3 linked regions of the Coturnix japonica genome follow. The protein of the gene in region 1 interacts with the protein of each later gene in a pairwise test. Links are inferred from orthologs where the notes say so. Each region holds a gene or a part of one and is shown on either strand. Other genes may lie near its edges.

The links. The genes of interacting proteins can lie anywhere in the genome.
Region 2: the proteins of MLX (region 1) and MXD4 interact in a two-hybrid assay, tested with the Homo sapiens proteins (2 studies listed by BioGRID). The link is inferred for Coturnix japonica from reciprocal best matches to the Homo sapiens genes MLX and MXD4.
Region 3: the proteins of MLX (region 1) and GABARAPL2 interact in binary tests that used the Homo sapiens proteins (3 or more experiments, as listed by UniProt). The two-hybrid records come from large-scale screens. The link is inferred for Coturnix japonica from reciprocal best matches to the Homo sapiens genes MLX and GABARAPL2.

Annotation. Positions count from the first base shown.
Region 1 is NC_029542.1:4,577,213-4,582,318, forward strand, and holds the start of MLX (max-like protein X), read left to right. Parts: upstream 1-1,960; 5' UTR 1,961-2,076; coding exon 2,077-2,121; intron 2,122-2,202; coding exon 2,203-2,239; intron 2,240-2,316; coding exon 2,317-2,400; intron 2,401-2,508; coding exon 2,509-2,615; intron 2,616-2,776; coding exon 2,777-2,876; intron 2,877-3,020; coding exon 3,021-3,120; intron 3,121-3,367; coding exon 3,368-3,569; intron 3,570-4,044; coding exon 4,045-4,101; 3' UTR 4,102-5,106. Other genes in the region: bifunctional coenzyme A synthase-like, read left to right, coding at 1-174, 248-379, 445-634, 735-799, 1,034-1,118, 1,201-1,298, 1,445-1,591, 1,647-1,919. UniProt on the Homo sapiens protein: Transcription regulator. Forms a sequence-specific DNA-binding protein complex with MAD1, MAD4, MNT, WBSCR14 and MLXIP which recognizes the core sequence 5'-CACGTG-3'. The TCFL4-MAD1, TCFL4-MAD4, TCFL4-WBSCR14 complexes are transcriptional repressors.
Region 2 is NC_029519.1:75,158,173-75,163,346, reverse strand, and holds the start of MXD4 (max dimerization protein 4), read right to left. Parts: upstream 3,236-5,174; 5' UTR 3,075-3,235; coding exon 3,011-3,074; intron 2,648-3,010; coding exon 2,479-2,647; intron 1-2,478. UniProt on the Homo sapiens protein: Transcriptional repressor. Binds with MAX to form a sequence-specific DNA-binding protein complex which recognizes the core sequence 5'-CAC[GA]TG-3'.
Region 3 is NC_029526.1:17,778,361-17,783,466, reverse strand, and holds the start of GABARAPL2 (gamma-aminobutyric acid receptor-associated protein-like 2), read left to right. Parts: upstream 1-1,871; 5' UTR 1,872-2,033; coding exon 2,034-2,067; intron 2,068-2,502; coding exon 2,503-2,558; intron 2,559-3,176; coding exon 3,177-3,349; intron 3,350-5,106. Other genes in the region: uncharacterized protein LOC107319444, read right to left, coding at 254-382, 1,190-1,359, 1,438-1,579. UniProt on the Homo sapiens protein: Ubiquitin-like modifier involved in intra-Golgi traffic. Modulates intra-Golgi transport through coupling between NSF activity and SNAREs activation. It first stimulates the ATPase activity of NSF which in turn stimulates the association with GOSR1.

The DNA of each region.
Region 1 (5,106 bases):
GTGGCCAAACTGCGGGAGTTCCTGGCAGATGTGCAGCCCTCGGTGCTGTACGACATCGTGCCTCTGGGCGACCCCTACGGCCCCGCAATCACCGACCCGGAGCTGCGCTGCATCGTGGTCAGCGAGGAGACACGCAAGGGAGGGGAGGCCGTGAACAAGAAGAGGATCGAGAACGTAACTGGAGGATCTGAGACCTCTGGGCCCCGTGGTTACATCTGGGGGGCTCAGTGGTGTCCCCTCCCGGCAGGGCCTCGCCGCACTGGAGCTCTTTGAGATCGAGCTGATGGAGGATCCCCAACACAGCCTCAGTGAGGAGGAGAAGATCAGCTCCTCCAGCCTGCGACAGCGGCTGCTCGGCACGTTGCTGCGGCCCCCACGGGTAGGGGGAGCTGCCGGGGGCTGGGAGCTGCGGGACCACCGCCCGTCTGACCCTTCCTTCCCCAGGACAGCCCCACGCTGCCCCCCCGCCCCTACATCATCGGTCTGACCGGGGGCAGCGGGAGCGGGAAGACCTCGATCGCCCGCCGCCTGGGGCAGATGGGAGCGTTCATCATCGATGCTGATGCACTGGGCCACGCTGTGTACCTGCCCGGCAGCCCGGCCCACGGGCAAGTGGTGGCTGCGTTTGGGGCAGGTGGGGCTGGGTGTGCTGCGGCACCGGCGCTGTGCCGGGACACGCTGTGCAGGTGAGTTGGATTCTTTCTGCTCCCAAATCACCTCCCTCTGTCTTGCAGAAATCTTGAACAAAGACGGGACGATCAACAGGAAGATCCTCGGGGCAAAAGTGTTTGGAAACCAGGTACGAGCAGCACAGGGAATGTCAATATTTAACCTCATGAGCAGAGAACTCTGTGCTGGCGCTTTGATTTCCAGCCCTTTGAGCTGATGCCACGTCCCTGTGCAGTAGCACACAGTAAATCAGCGGCTGTGCAGGATCCACATCCAGGCAGCAGCTGCTGTTGCTCCTCCAGCTGTGGCCCCCTCGTGGACCAACCTCTGGGAGGACCCTGACTCCGCTGCGGTTCCTTTCCAGGAGCGGCTGAAGAACCTCACAGACATCGTGTGGCCGGAGATCGCGCGGATGGTCAGGGAGCAGATCAGGGAGGCAGGAGCTCAAGGTACCGGGTGGCTCTGATTGTAGTGGGCGCTGCCGGCGCTGCCTGTGTCCGCCCGGTGACCAGGAACGGCCTCGTTCCGTAGGAAAAGCCGTGATGGTGCTGGATGCCGCCGTGCTGCTGGAGGCCGGATGGCAGGAGATGGTGCACGAGGTGTGGGCGGCCATCATCCCCGAGGACGAGGTGGGTGACTCCCCTCGGCCGCCCCGTGATCCCCGTGACCCCCCGTGACCCCCGTGATCCCCGTGACCCCCGTGATCGCCGTGATCCCCGTGATCGCCGTGACCCCCGTGATCGCCGTGACCCCCCGTCCCGTGCTGGTCCCGCAGGCGCTGAAACGCATCGTGAGCCGGGACGGGCTGAGCGAGGAGGCGGCGCGTGACCGGCTGCGGAGTCAGATGAGCGACGGGCAGCGGGTGCGGGAGGCGCATGTTGTGCTGAGCACCGCGTGGGAGCCCGACGTCACCCACAAACAGGTGAGAACGGGCCGCTGTAACGGGCCGGTGTAACGGCGCCGAGCCCCGCACGAAGCTGCTGACGGTGCCCGTTGTCAGGTGGAGAAGGCGTGGGAGCTGCTGCAGCGCCGCATCCACCGCGCGGCCACCGCAACGAGCAGCTGAACCGCAACGGGACCGAGAGGAGCCGGGACCGGGAGCGAACGGAGCGAACGGAGCGAACGGAGCCGCACAACGCGCCGGGACGGACCGGAAGCGCCGCGGCCCCGACCGGGCGGGTACGGCCCGTGCTCGGCACGGCGGGCGCTGCCGGTTCCGCGCCGTGATCCCGCAGCCGAGCGGCGGTTAAAGGGCGGTCGCAGTTTCCCGGTGTCCGTGCTGTTTGTGTCCCGTTGGTCCCGTTGTTCCCGTTGTTCCCGTTGTCCCCACGTGGCGCCCCCTCGCGGTCGGGAGGGCGGCGCTTCCCGGCGTCCCCCGCGGCTCCCACGTGACCGGGGCGGGGGAAGATGGCGGAGCCGCCCGGTGCCGCGGCGGAGGAAGCGTGGGGGAAGGTAACGGGGCGGCGGTCGGACCGTGGGGCCGAGGCCCGGAGCGCCACCATCCGCCCCGTGACCGCCGCCCTCCGCCCGCAGGTGGACGCCGCGTACGGGGACAATGTCCCGGAGCCCGGTAGGTGCCGGGGGGGGCGGTTCGATGGCGGGTGGCGGATGGGGCGGCTCCGCTGAGCGGCTCCCGCTGTCCCGCAGCGCTCGGTACGGACAGGAAGGGCAGCGTCGTGTCCCGCGCCAACAGCATCGGATCCACCAGCGCCTCGTCCGTGCCCAACACCGGTACGAACGGGGGCACCGGGCTGGAGCGGGGCGGGCGCGGGGCAACCGGGGACGGCGGCGTCCGGGGGGGCCCGTCCCGACCCGCGCTCAGCGCCGCTGTGTCCGCAGACGACGAGGACAGCGATTACCCGCAGGAGTTTTACAAGGAGTCCTACAAGGACCAGCGGCGCCGGGCGCACACGCAGGCGGAGCAGAAGCGGCGCGATGCCATCAAGGTCGGTGGGCGCCGCGCCGCGTTCCAGCCCCTCGTCCCGTGCTGGATCCGCTCCATGAGCCGCGTGTGGCTGGAGCCGCTTTGGCCGCGTGGTGGGAGCTGGGCTGTGGGTCCGTGTAACCGCTGCCGTTTGTGCCTGTTCTGCTCCCTCTGCCCCTGCAGAAAGGCTACGACGACCTGCAGGCCATCGTGCCCACCTGCCAGCAGCAGGACTTCGCCATCGGCTCCCAGAAGCTGAGCAAGGCCGTCATCCTGCAGAAGAGTGAGTGTGTGCAGGAGGCAGCAGGGCACGATCCGACCCTCAGGCACCTCAATGTGGTGATTGTGTGTGATGGTGCCTCGGGGACCGACCTCAGGGAGGTCAGAGGGGCCCCATGTGCTGCTTACTCTGTGTTTTTGTGTTCAGCCATTGATTACATTCAGTTCCTGCACAAGGAAAAGAAGAAGCAAGAAGAGGAAGTTTCTACTCTCAGGAAAGACGTGATGGCCTTGAAGATAATGAAAGTGTAAGTAAGAAGTTATTTGGTTGCTGCCCCCTTCTTCCTGCTGTTTTTCCCCATGTCCCTGCAAAGCTCCCCCGATGTGCTCAGTGCTCTGTGTGCAGTCTGGCACCTGGGGTCGTACCAAATTGCCTCCAGTTCTGAAGCTGTTTTCAGTGTCCAGTTACTGGCAGCAGCTTCTGCCCCCGCTGTCGCCCAGCTGCTGTGCAGTACGAGGCTTCGATAGCACTGAGCCCCAAACTTGGTGTTTCAGGAACTATGAGCAGATCGTAAAAGCTCACCAGGACAACCCGAGTGAGGGGAAGGACCAGGTCTCTGACCAGGTGAAATTCAACGTTTTCCAAGGCATTATGGATTCCCTCTTTGAGTCCTTTAATGCCTCCATCTCAGTCACGAGTTTTCAAGAGCTGTCAGCATGTGTCTTCAGCTGGATTGAGGAGCACTGTAAGCCCCATGTGAGTACAGCAGACACAGGGGGGTTGATATAAGAGCAGAGGCTGTTGTGTATGGCTGCACCTGTCTGGAGTGTAGGCCTGTGTGCAGCTTTTCTTTCGCCTGGGCCTTCAGAAAGGCAGAATGTGGCTGACACTGGACCTGGGGCATGGGAGCTTGGGTTCCTCTCATTTCCCAGCTGCTTGGCAGTGAAATTCAGACACTGAAAAACAGAGCTTACAAAGAGGGTGCTTGTTCCCCAGCACTTTGTTCCATAAGACACTTAGAAGTTAGGAGGGAAGAGAATGAGCTGCATGGGCAGGGCCAGGTCCTTGTTGTGCTGTGGCTGCCTGGAGCCCTGCAGCCTGAGAACACAGACAGGCGATCGTTTCCCATACAGGTGCTGAGATCTGTGGCACCAGGTGCTGTCTGTAGCATTGAGCATGGGAAAGGCTTTTCCTCCCCTGAACAACTGACTGTGTCTCCTCTCTGCCCCAGACCCTACGGGACATTGTCATCGGGGTCCTGCACCAGGTGAAGAGTCAGCTGTACTGAGCATCCCTCGCTGGAGCACCTCCCGACCGGGTGACAGCTGCCAGGAGAGGCTGGACCATCTCCCTTGTGCTGGTCCTTAAAGCTTCTTCGATTATTTATTGTCACTACAAAACCAAACCAAAGCTGTGCAAACAGGTACTGTCACAGTCAACGTTACCAAATACTGCTAAGGACTTAGTGAAGGGAAAGAAATAAGTGTGTATTGAATATAGATCTTTTAAGTTGCCAGTGTCTTTAGCTCAGGCAGGTGGTTGCAGTTGGGTTTATCTGTGCCACTGATTTCAGGGCTGCAGCTCAGCAGGTGAATCTGCTCTGTAACCTCACACCTGATATAAACCCTATTGAACCTGGGAGCAGGGAGAAATAGGAGAGTGCTAAAAGCTGTTGCTGTGCTAATGCAGCTCAGGAATAGGGTTATTCTGCAGCTGCAGGTTTTCAATACCTCCCTCTGAAGCAGCTCTTAGAAAAGCAAGAGTCTGCTTTTAATTTCTGTAGCTGCTTTGGAGAAGGCCCGGGAGAACTGAGGGCAGGTTTATTAGCATGTCACTGCCAGGGCAATGCTCATTACATGGAGCAGCAAGCGAGCTCTGTGCTGAAGGAGTGCCCTGGGGCCTCGCTGTGCTGACTCTTCAGTAACACCCCTGAATGGGAAAGGAGTGAACTTTCATTGCAGCCTTTTCCTCCTTGTTCTGATGAGTGCTGAATTGGGCCTGGCTTTATCTTTTTCTGGGTTGTGATGTGGCCACACTGAACAGGAAAGTTCAGTAGCTGCAGCACAGCATTACTCTGAGTTCACACTGCTGTTCCTTAGCACCATGATTTTATGTGGGTATATATATTTATATACATGTAACCAGCCTTGATTTTATTTTATAGATCACTGAAATCATTGTAAAGTGTAATCAATGCCAGTTTTGCAGTGTCTCACTTGCCACACGCTGCTGCTGTCAGTGTGAATCAGCAAACCAAGCACAATGATGGCATTGGACAGCATCACCCTCCATG
Region 2 (5,174 bases), on another chromosome or scaffold:
GGGGTGTCTGAGCCCCCATAGACAGGCAGCGAGGGGAGGAACTGCAGAGCAGAGCAATGCGTGGCACAGCCCCCTGCTGCTGACACTGCTCCCCTCCTCCCCTTTCCTCATTTTCCCAAAATGAGGAGGAAGATGTTTTTCATGCTTTAATGTATCTATACATATATATATTTAGCTCACTAAGCGTGCAATACATACATATATATATATATGTATCGGTTTTTAATCTGATCAGACGGTATAAACAAAGGGAGCTGAGGATGCTGCAAGCAGCAGGATATAAAAACAGATGACGAAAACAACCAAACCCCTGCAGTTTCGAAACGTGCAGTTCTCTGCTTCTTTCCTTCCCCTCCAACCTTAAGCACGTATTTTTCTATCTAAGAAGAAGAATGCAATCATTAGGAATAAACTTCAGACATGTATGTATATACTCTGCCTGAATCCGATGCTCCAAGGCTGGAAAAAGGTTGATACAGAACAATAACAACAAACGTTTTACCCAGCGCTTCACATCACCACGACCATTCCAGATCCTCTGAACTTTGGCCAGTCGTCTGCCCCTGGTAATCTCCAAGTTGCTTAGGGAGACTTAACAGCATTACCCAAACTCTAGTCTGGGGTTCAGACCCTGCAGCCTATAAGCTCCAAATAATAATAATAAACAGCGATGCTGGTGTACTTTGTGGGGTTTAAACTGATGTTCTAATGTAAAGATCATTTAGAATTCAAGCTCATAGGCAAAGCTGAGCAGCAGTACCTCCAAATGGGGGTGGGTGCAGGAGGTGCAATGGATGCAGGGGTGCCCACAGAGCTCTGCAGTCACGCTTGCTCCTAACAGAGCAGGGCGCTGCATTCCAGCAATGCGTCTTCACTCACAGCCTGACAGCATACACACCACAAGAGACCATTTGGGAAGCACCACTTCGTCCCATAACACCAACTCATTCCTGACCTAATCACTGCAGTGAGGAGGAAAGAAAGCGCAAGGAAATGCATAGGTGGCACGTCACAGGATGGCATGTTGGAGGCTGGCACTGCTGCACGGTGAGGATCAGAATGAAAGTCTGAGCAGGTAAATACAGAATGCAGAATATAACTGCAAGCAGGCATGCACACCTCCATAACACGAGCAAATCTGTGAGCAGAAATCTTTTAATTCTGCTCTATTTGATAGGTTACAAATCCTCTCCTAACAACTCTGAAAAGCAGCTTACAGTTCAGACAAATAACTATTTTGCAGGGATGACAAGAGACCTAAGAAAGGAAATGATGGAATAATAGCTCTCTAAGTAACACAGCTTTCCCAAACTCAGGAGGCAGAAATAGTCCTTAAGATGCGGCCAGCGCTTTTGGGTGTGGACTGCTAGGAGCCTTGTTTAGTTTAGCCTCGGGAAACATCTCCCACTCCTGATGACTCTCTAAAACGAACTGACATCTGAAATGAGACAAGAATTCAACTTAAACCCAAACCCACGTCCAAGTGCTGCAGCGAGAACGCAGCAGCGTGTGCCTGACTTCCAGCAGGGGACAGGGAACGAGCAGCCTCCCCCAGCAGCTCTGATAGAGGCACAGCTCAGCTGCGGGCAGCAGCAGGGTGCCAGCTCTGCCCTCCCGAGGAGCTGCCAGCTCCTGATTCCAGGCCGCATCTCGGGCACCCTGCGGGATCCCTGCTGGGGGAGCAGCGGGCCCACCGAGCTCACGGTGCTTTGCAAAACAAACCACGTGCGAGCCGAGCTCACGTTAGGCTGTTCCAGAGGAAGCACCGTGCCCAGAGGAGCTGCTGGTAGGGCCAGGCCCGGCCACGGCTCCGGAGCAGCCCTGGAAGAGCCGAGCAGAGCGGAGCGGAGCAGCACAACGACGGCTGGAGGAGTTCCCAGGCGGGGGCCGGCACTGTCCCTGTAAGCCAACCTCCTGCACGTCCACAGCCACTGCCGGAGCGGCAAACAAAGCTGCAGAGCCTGCGCAGAGCCCTTCGCTAATGGCATCGCAGCACAGGTAGCGCTGCGGGGAAAAAAAACAACAGGCGACGGTACAACGAGGAGGGGGATGATGATGGCAACGACGGGCCACGCGGGGACAGCGGCACCGGGAGAGCTCGACTTCGGAACCTCCTCAATGCGGAGCGACGGGAGAAGGGCGAGCACCGGGTCGGGACCGTCCCGTGCACGCGGCGATTCTGAGGCCCCACGGGGGGAAGGATATAAATAAACGCTGTGGGGGGAGGGAAGGAGGGGGGGGGGTTGAATTAGTGCCATGCAAAGAAAAGGCTGCGAGGAGACGGCACAGAGAGCGGAGCAGAGCGGAGCCGTGGGGGCGGCCGGCAGGGAGGAGATGGTTGTACGCGTGGCAGTGTTTATATGGGAGATGAAAACACGGCCAAGCCCAGGCGGCGAAAAATGGCGACTCCCGGGATGGGGGAGCGGAACCGACGGGCTGCTGGCGTGGATGGAACACGGGACGAGCTGTGTCCATTACCTGTTATTCGGGGACTTTCTGGCCATGGAGCCTGCCTTTGTTTTCTTTCTGGAATAGTCACTATCGAAGGGTAACACTGATGCATAGCCATGTTCTGCTTCTAGGGACAAAGTCAGCATTAGTGGCAATATATTTTTTCCATGCATTTTTTTCCTCCTTTGCAGGAACGCTATAAGGGGGTAAAGAACAGAATTTTGGTTGCGGTTGATTTGTTGGGATTTTCAGTCCGGCATCTCTTAAAGCAGCAACACACATACACACACACACACATATACACATATATATATGTGTATATATATATATACACACATACACGCACATAAAGGCCACAAATCCCCCCCAAGTGCCCCCACCTCAGTCTCCCCCCACCCCCCGGCTCAGCAGCCCCCAATACCGCCCTAAATCCCCTATTATCGCTCTATGTGTGTGGCACACACCGAACACACACAGCCCCGTCCATGTTCTTGCCCTGCCCGCCCTGTGGCAGCTGGGCCCGATCCCCTCACAACAAAGGGACAGCGGCGCTCAGTACCTCGGTCTCTTCTCTCCAAGTACTCGGCCGCCTCCAGGAGAATTAACAGGGAGTTCAACTCCATGGCTGCGTGTTGGAGGAGCCGAGCAATGCCGAACCGAACCGAGTAACACCGAGTAATACCGAGTAACACCGAGCCGAGCCCCCCGCAGCGCGGCCACTCCACCCCGCGCCGAGTTCACGCGCGGGGGAACTTCCAAGTCCCCAGTTATAAGGCACCTCTCTCAACCTACATTTGACACACGGCAGACGGGCAGCCCCGGCGGCCAATAGGAAAACGGGGTTCAGCGAGGAGGCGGGACGAAGCGCCTCGATGGAGCCAATGGGCGTTGAGAGCCCCCCTCCCTTTTCCTCTGGCTGGGGCAGGGAATGTTGACAGATCTCATCTCGCCTCCCATTGGTCGGCCGCTATAGTAACAAGTTAGAAGCCGAAGCTTAGCAACAGCACGTGGTGGCCCCGCCCCCTCGCGCGCTGATTGGCTCGCTTCTTGCATGTTAAGCAGCCGGCCGGCGCTGATTGGCCCAGAGGGCACTATGCAAATGAAGGGACGCGTGCGCTGTGTGGGGAGGGGGGTGGGGCGTTGGTGCCGCGTGGGACGCGGTGTGTGGTGTGTTGTGTGTGTGTGTGTGTTGTGTTGTGTTGTGTGTGTGTTGTGTCTATGCTGTGTTGTGTCCTGTTGTGTGGTGTGTGTGTGGTTGTGTTGTGTGTGTAGTGTGTGTGTTGTGTCTATGCTGTGTTGTGTGTGTTGTGTGTCTATGCTATGCTGAGTGTGTTGTGTGTGTGTGTGGTGTGTTTGTTGTGTGTTTTGTGTTGGGCGTTGTGTGTTGTGTTGTGTGTGTTGTGTTGTGCATTGTGTGGTGTAGTGTGTGTGTGTTGTGTGTGGTGTGTCTTGTGTGTTGTGTGTGTGTTGTGTCTATGCCGTGTTGTGTGTTGTGTGTTTTGTATTGTGTGTTGTGTTGTGTCTATGCTGTGTTGTGTGGTGTGTTTGTTGTGTTGTGTGTGTTGTGTGTTGTGTGTGTGTGTTGTGTTGTGTGTCTATGCTATGCTGTGTGTGTTGTGTGTGTGTTGTGTTTTGTGGTGTGTCTTGTGTGTTGTGTGTGTGTTGTGTCTATGCCGTGTTGTGTGTTGTGTGTTTTGTATTGTGTGTAGTGTTGTGTCTATGCTGTGTTGTGTCTATGCTACGCTGTGTGTGTTTGTGTGTGTTGTGTGTGTTGTGTGGTGTGTTGTGTGTTCTGTTGTGTGGTGTGGTGTGTGTTGTGTATATGCTGTGTTGTGTGGTGTGTTGTGTGTGTGTGTGTGTTGTGTGTGTTGTGGTGTGGTGTGTGTGTATTGTGTTGTGTATGTGCTGTCAGCTCCGAGCACGGCGGCTCTGTCACAACAGCAGCAACATGGAATAGAACGTCAGTGGGAAGGTTCAACCACCACCATCCACCTCTGATGTCATGGGCCAGCATCATAAACCAAGAGGCATTACTTTCGGAGCAAGCATTGTGTATTACATCTAGTATGTAACTAGTCTGTATCTTTGCCTCAGCTGAGTGAATGCGATACGGCTGCTGATGGCATAGAGTCATTAAGGCTGGAAAAGGCCGCTGAGATCATGCAGTCCAACCATCAGCCCATCCCATGGCCCACAAAGCACGTCCCTCAGCTCCACATCTCTGCGTTCCTCCAACACCCCCACAGATCGTCCCTTCCTTGGGCAGCCTTTTCCAATGTCCCGCCACCAATTGTTCCTAATCACCAACCTGAGCTTCCTCTGGCACATTTTAAGGCCATTCCCTCTCATCCTATGTGGCCATTTCCCAGGATGGGACAAAATACTGTAAAGAAAGGCTGCCTTGTGGCTGTAATTTAAGAGTACGTTACATCTGCTTGGAAAAAAACACTGAAAACCCATCAAAACTAATGGTCGTTTTGCTGTTGTCTCCACTGGGAGTGGGTTTACAAAGGATTTCACATTGTTTTCTTCTATAAAATAACACAAAACTATGTGTAGTTCTGCAGCGTCCACACGGGAAGTTCCCTTTGCCTGACCGCATGCAATAGGGCACGTAGTAAAGCAAACAGAAAGATACACAGATAAGACAATGCTGTTCACTCCTGCAGCCAGCGAAATAGCAGTACCTCCAACCTGCAGAGCATCTGTATTCCTTAGTATGT
Region 3 (5,106 bases), on another chromosome or scaffold:
TCCCTCCAAAAAAACAAAACAAAAAACCCACACCAAAAAAGCCACCAATCCCCACAGCAAAGAAACATTTCATATCATAGAGAAACTAGCAATGACCTGAGAAGGGGGAGGGGGGGGGGGGGGGGGAATTAACAACACAAGAGATGTTACTGAAATCTCTCAGAAATGTCAAACGTGAAAAGATTCTTCACATAACTCCTGACATCCTACACTGGCTCTATGGGTCACAGCAAATAAAACAAAAAGTGCTCACATAAAGCTGGTAGGAAAAGATCAAAATCAGCTGAATGCCAACTACGTGCTCTGTAGGTTGAAGTGGAAGCTCCAGTTTAAAATGCAACTGATCCATTTTTCCATCTTGATTTTTATCTTCTTCTCTCGCCTAAAAGGAGCGATCAGACTTTTGTTTAGTTAGTTTAATAGAAGGGTTCCTGTTAAGAGGAAAGAAAGTTAAAAGTGCAGATTTCCCTAACTGCAACACGCACATACAAAGAAAGCAAAGAAACAGCACAGTTAGAAATAGAATAAAAAGCTGCTTGGCTTTAAAAACATGAGGTTAGAGAGAGAAGCCTTAGTTCTGTATGTTACAACAATCCACGTACTCCACAGGAAGGGAAAAAGACTCTCCAAGAGCACTTTTGTCCCGTGCCATTCCAAACATGTTCCCTGCATCCTACAGTCTGTATCTTAACGCTGGACCTTCTGCTACATCCCTGGCAATGCTGAGCTCGGCCCTGAGCGCTTCTTTGCACCATGTCCAGCTCCTGGTGGGAAGCCGCGGCTCCCAGCGCTTCCGTACCGCTCAAGGCCAGCACCGCAGCAATTCACAACCACCACGAGGCACCACAGAGCGCTCAGAGGAAATAACTACCGCTGCTGGATCCCGCAAAGAACAATAGCTGCAGGGGAGAGACGGCATGCTTTGAAAGCACGTACCTGCATTGCAAAGCAGGGGGCTGCCCACAAAGCCCTGCAAGCTGCAGTGTAACAAGCCTCACAGAGCGGGACCGGGACGGGGAAGGAAGAAAAATTACGGGGAAAAAAAAAAACAAAAACAAAACCACAAAAACCCACGGGAAAGAAAAGTCAGCAAAAAGCTTCGTGAGAACGAGCAGCGTGTTCCTGTAAGTCAGTGCACCGACAGCCGAAGCCAAGGGAGCTCCCCGACCCGCTGCCCGCAGCCGCCTACCAACAGCAGCGGGACGCGCAGCCGGTCCTCCTGGAGCCGGTTGAACGCCGGGAACGTGCTCCACGCCAGGAAGCTGCCCGGGCCCGGCCCGGTGGTGGCCACGAACAGCAGCTGGTACTGGAAGCGGACCGCGGGCTGCTCTCGGTACGAGCTCTGCTTCAGCCAGAAACCTGCGGGCAAACACGGCGCGACGTCACGGCGCGACGCCGGGCGCGGCCCCGCGGGGCTGGGGGCTGCCCGCCGCTCACCGTGGCTCCGGTAAGCCACCAGCAGCGGCGGCACGTAGGTGAGCGCGGCCAGCAGCAGCAGCGCCAGCGCGGCGGCGGAGCACAGCCCGGCCCGGTACCGCGTGTGCAGCGCGGGGTGCGAGAACAGCTCCAGCGCCGCCATCCCCAGCACGCGGCTGCGGAGCGCAACGACGGACCGGAGCCGGGCTGCACCGAGCGCCGCAACGGGAGCGGCGGCCGCCGAGCAGCGGGGAGCGCGATCCGGGACACGCGGCTGCAGTGAAGCGGGGAGCGCCCGGGGAGCGCAGCACCAAGGGAACCACGGCGGGCGCTACGGCAACGAGACCGCCGGTAACGGGACCGGCAGCAAAGGGACCGGCGGCAACGGGACCGAACGGCGGGCTCCGCAGCCTCGTTTCCCCCACGTGACCCCGCTCACCGCGACCCGGAAGCGCCGCGTTCCGGTGGTTGCTAAGGAAGCACCGAACCGGAAGTCCCGCCTGCCGAGCCGGGGCTGATTTTGTTGTGACAGGGTCCGTGTCGGCCGCCTCGGCCCGGTTCCGTTCTCGGCCTACCCGGGCCCCGCCGCCGGCTCCGCTTCCCGCCCAGCCCGCGCCATGAAGTGGATGTTCAAAGAAGACCACGCGCTGGGTAAGGGCGGGCCCGGCGCTGCCCGACGGCGGCCTCCCGTGTCCCGTGTCCCGTGTCGCCGTCCGCCCCGGGCTCCCCGTCGTGCTGCTGGGCGGGCGGCCCCGCGGGTCTGGACGCAGGGCGGCGCGGCAGCGGGGAATGAGAGAATGAGAACGAGAATGAGAACGAGAATGAGAATGCGAACACCGGGCCGGGGCCGCGTCACGGGGTGCGGGGCGGCTGCGGTGCGTGCGGGGCTGCTCGCTCTGCGCAGGGCCCTGACCGTACCGTTACTGTTACCGTACCGTTACCATACCGTTCCGTTCCGTTACCGTTCCGTACCGTACCGTACTGTTACCGTACCGTACTGTTACCATACCATACTGTTACCGTACCGTTACCGTTACCGTTCTGTACCGTTACTGTACCGTGACTAACCGCAAGTTTTGTTCACAGAGCACAGATGTGTGGAGTCAGCAAAGATCCGCGCCAAGTACCCTGACCGTGTCCCGGTGAGTAACCAGGCCGGCTTCATCCAGAACTGAAGAGGCAGCGGTGGATGAGCTGCCTGCATCCTGCCCGCTGTGCTTTGACCAGAACCCACCAAGTACATTCATTTTCCCTTTTGCATCGTTTGATGTTTTAAAGAAGGCCCAAAGACACGTAACTAGCCCAGCATTCCTTCCTCTGCCCTAATGCGCACTGTCAAATAAGTGAATGTGCCTGACTTTCTGAACACTTACCACATCTATGTTTTCTCTATGTCCCACTTTCTTTTAAGAGCAAAGGCTTTGTACGTTCAGTATCCTGAAGGTACATTCTGTGCATGATTCCAGGAAACTTAAAGAATAAGTTCTTTACACCTTGACAGTCCTTCCTAGCTCGATGAGGGAGGTGATTAGGTTCACCTGGGTTCACAGGGAAGAGCTTTCCAGAGTGTCAGCCAGCCCTTAAATGAGGGCTAAGAGAGGTGCACAGGCACAGGAAAATTTGTGCCATTGTATATATGAATGTAGGTTTCAGTGCAGTTGTAAAATCAGGTTGTACAGTACTGAGTCCTATCTCTCACTATCAAAAGCTGTCTGTTTCTACCAGTCCTGAAAAGCCTCACTTTCACATGTGCTTTACAGGTTATAGTGGAGAAGGTATCAGGATCTCAGATTGTTGATATTGATAAGAGGAAATACTTAGTTCCATCTGACATCACCGTGGCCCAGTTTATGTGGATCATCAGGAAGAGGATTCAGTTGCCCTCTGAGAAAGCAATATTCCTCTTTGTAGACAAGACTGTCCCACAGTCCAGGTAAGTGGCTGTTCAACTGGTATTCAGAACCATTTTAGCGTGGCTGTACATATCAGAGGAACAAAAAAAAAAAACCCTTCTGAGGATTAGGCAGCACTTATAGAAGGCGTTTGGTTGCATTTTCATCTCCCTGCGATTTGGACTTTTTTGGTCATACATATTGGTAACACATTTTCGATTATTTACATTGCAAGAAGGTAAACTAGAGTTATGACATCAGAAATATCAGATAACTTCTCCATGTGGCAAAAAAAAGTTGCATGTTAAACATACAAAAGCAAGCACTATAAATTATTTAAAAAAACATGAACCTAATTCTGTCAGCTCACATTAATGGTTTTTGTTGTTGTTGTTGTGGGTTTTTTTAAAATAACTTTTTCCTGTAAATACTAAATGCAAAACAACTAGAAGTAATGTGAAAAAACTTCTCTGTAGAACGGAGTCAGCATCAGTGGTTGTCTGCTACGTACATTACAAAATGCAGCACTAGCAGCTACTGCAGCAGCTCCCTATACGATCTATTTGAATAATCTCTGAGAAAACAGAATGTAGTGTTACTTGGTTTGGAGGCAGTGTTATTCTTGTCAACACTTGCCTGTGTAACAGCACCTCCAAATAACCTGTCCAGACCCAGCAAGAAAGATTTGTATTTCATTCATGACACTTATGGGAATCACGGGAGTGGCAAGGACCACCTTTTCCTACTTTATTTCTTCTAGGAGTAGTAGAAATGCCTTAGTCCCACTTTCTCAGTACTGTAGAACTGCTAGGAACAAACAGGAAAGGCAAAGAAATAAGGGCACGTTGTATCATCTCACACAACTATGGTATCTCACATCTCTGCTGGAAGTCCAAGGCTCTGAACCTTCAAGCTGATGCAAAAATAGTAACTTTTGTTATTAGGTAAAAATGTAGCTGGCCAACAGTTCTACCCCTTTAGACCACAAATTCTTCACTTCCTTCTCATTCAGAAGGTTATCTACTATTTGTTAATTGCCATCAATTTCAAGTGCTGCCTGCAACTCTCCCCAACTCCTTTAACTTAACACACTACCCGTTTTCTCACAGGGAAAAAGCCATGATGGTTTTCCTATCACCCACATTCAGTCTGTGCCTTTCAGTTCTCTGGCCTTTTCTCAGGCACTCTTGGGCAGTTAGAAAAGATGATCTGAAGCATCTTTAGGCAGTTGACTCACATCAGTCACTGTTTCATCTGTCATTCACAGACAGCTAAAGGAGTTAGGCTGGCCAAGTAATTGCTTGGCTTTCGTTCTGTTTTCAAAATACAGTCATCCCACAAAAGACTACTTAGATTGTAAAGGGCCACAAGCCTATCTTATTAAAATACTTAGATTGGAAAGGGCCACAAGCCTACCTTATTAAAATAAATGAGTAATTAAGTTGCCAAAACGTTCAAACGATATCCCTTGAAAAAGTACCAGTTTCTAACTGGCTTGGAATTGTGGTGGCAACACTATTTTATAGTCATTACTTCTTAGCAATATAGACAACAAAGCTTGTACTCCCCCAAACAACCTGGACCTGCAAGAAACTGTCCAAAAAGCACATTTGATGAGTTTGAGAACATAGCACGCAGAGGAAGAAATTATGTTGCTTACTTAAGATGCAAGGTTTCAATGTGGCTGCATTCAAAGGAGGTGCTGTCAGGCTCTTAATCTTGCAGTTAGTCATGGCCTCGATGATGTACGATTCAGAAACTGAAATCCATCCAGTGACTAACTTTCAGTATAGGAAGC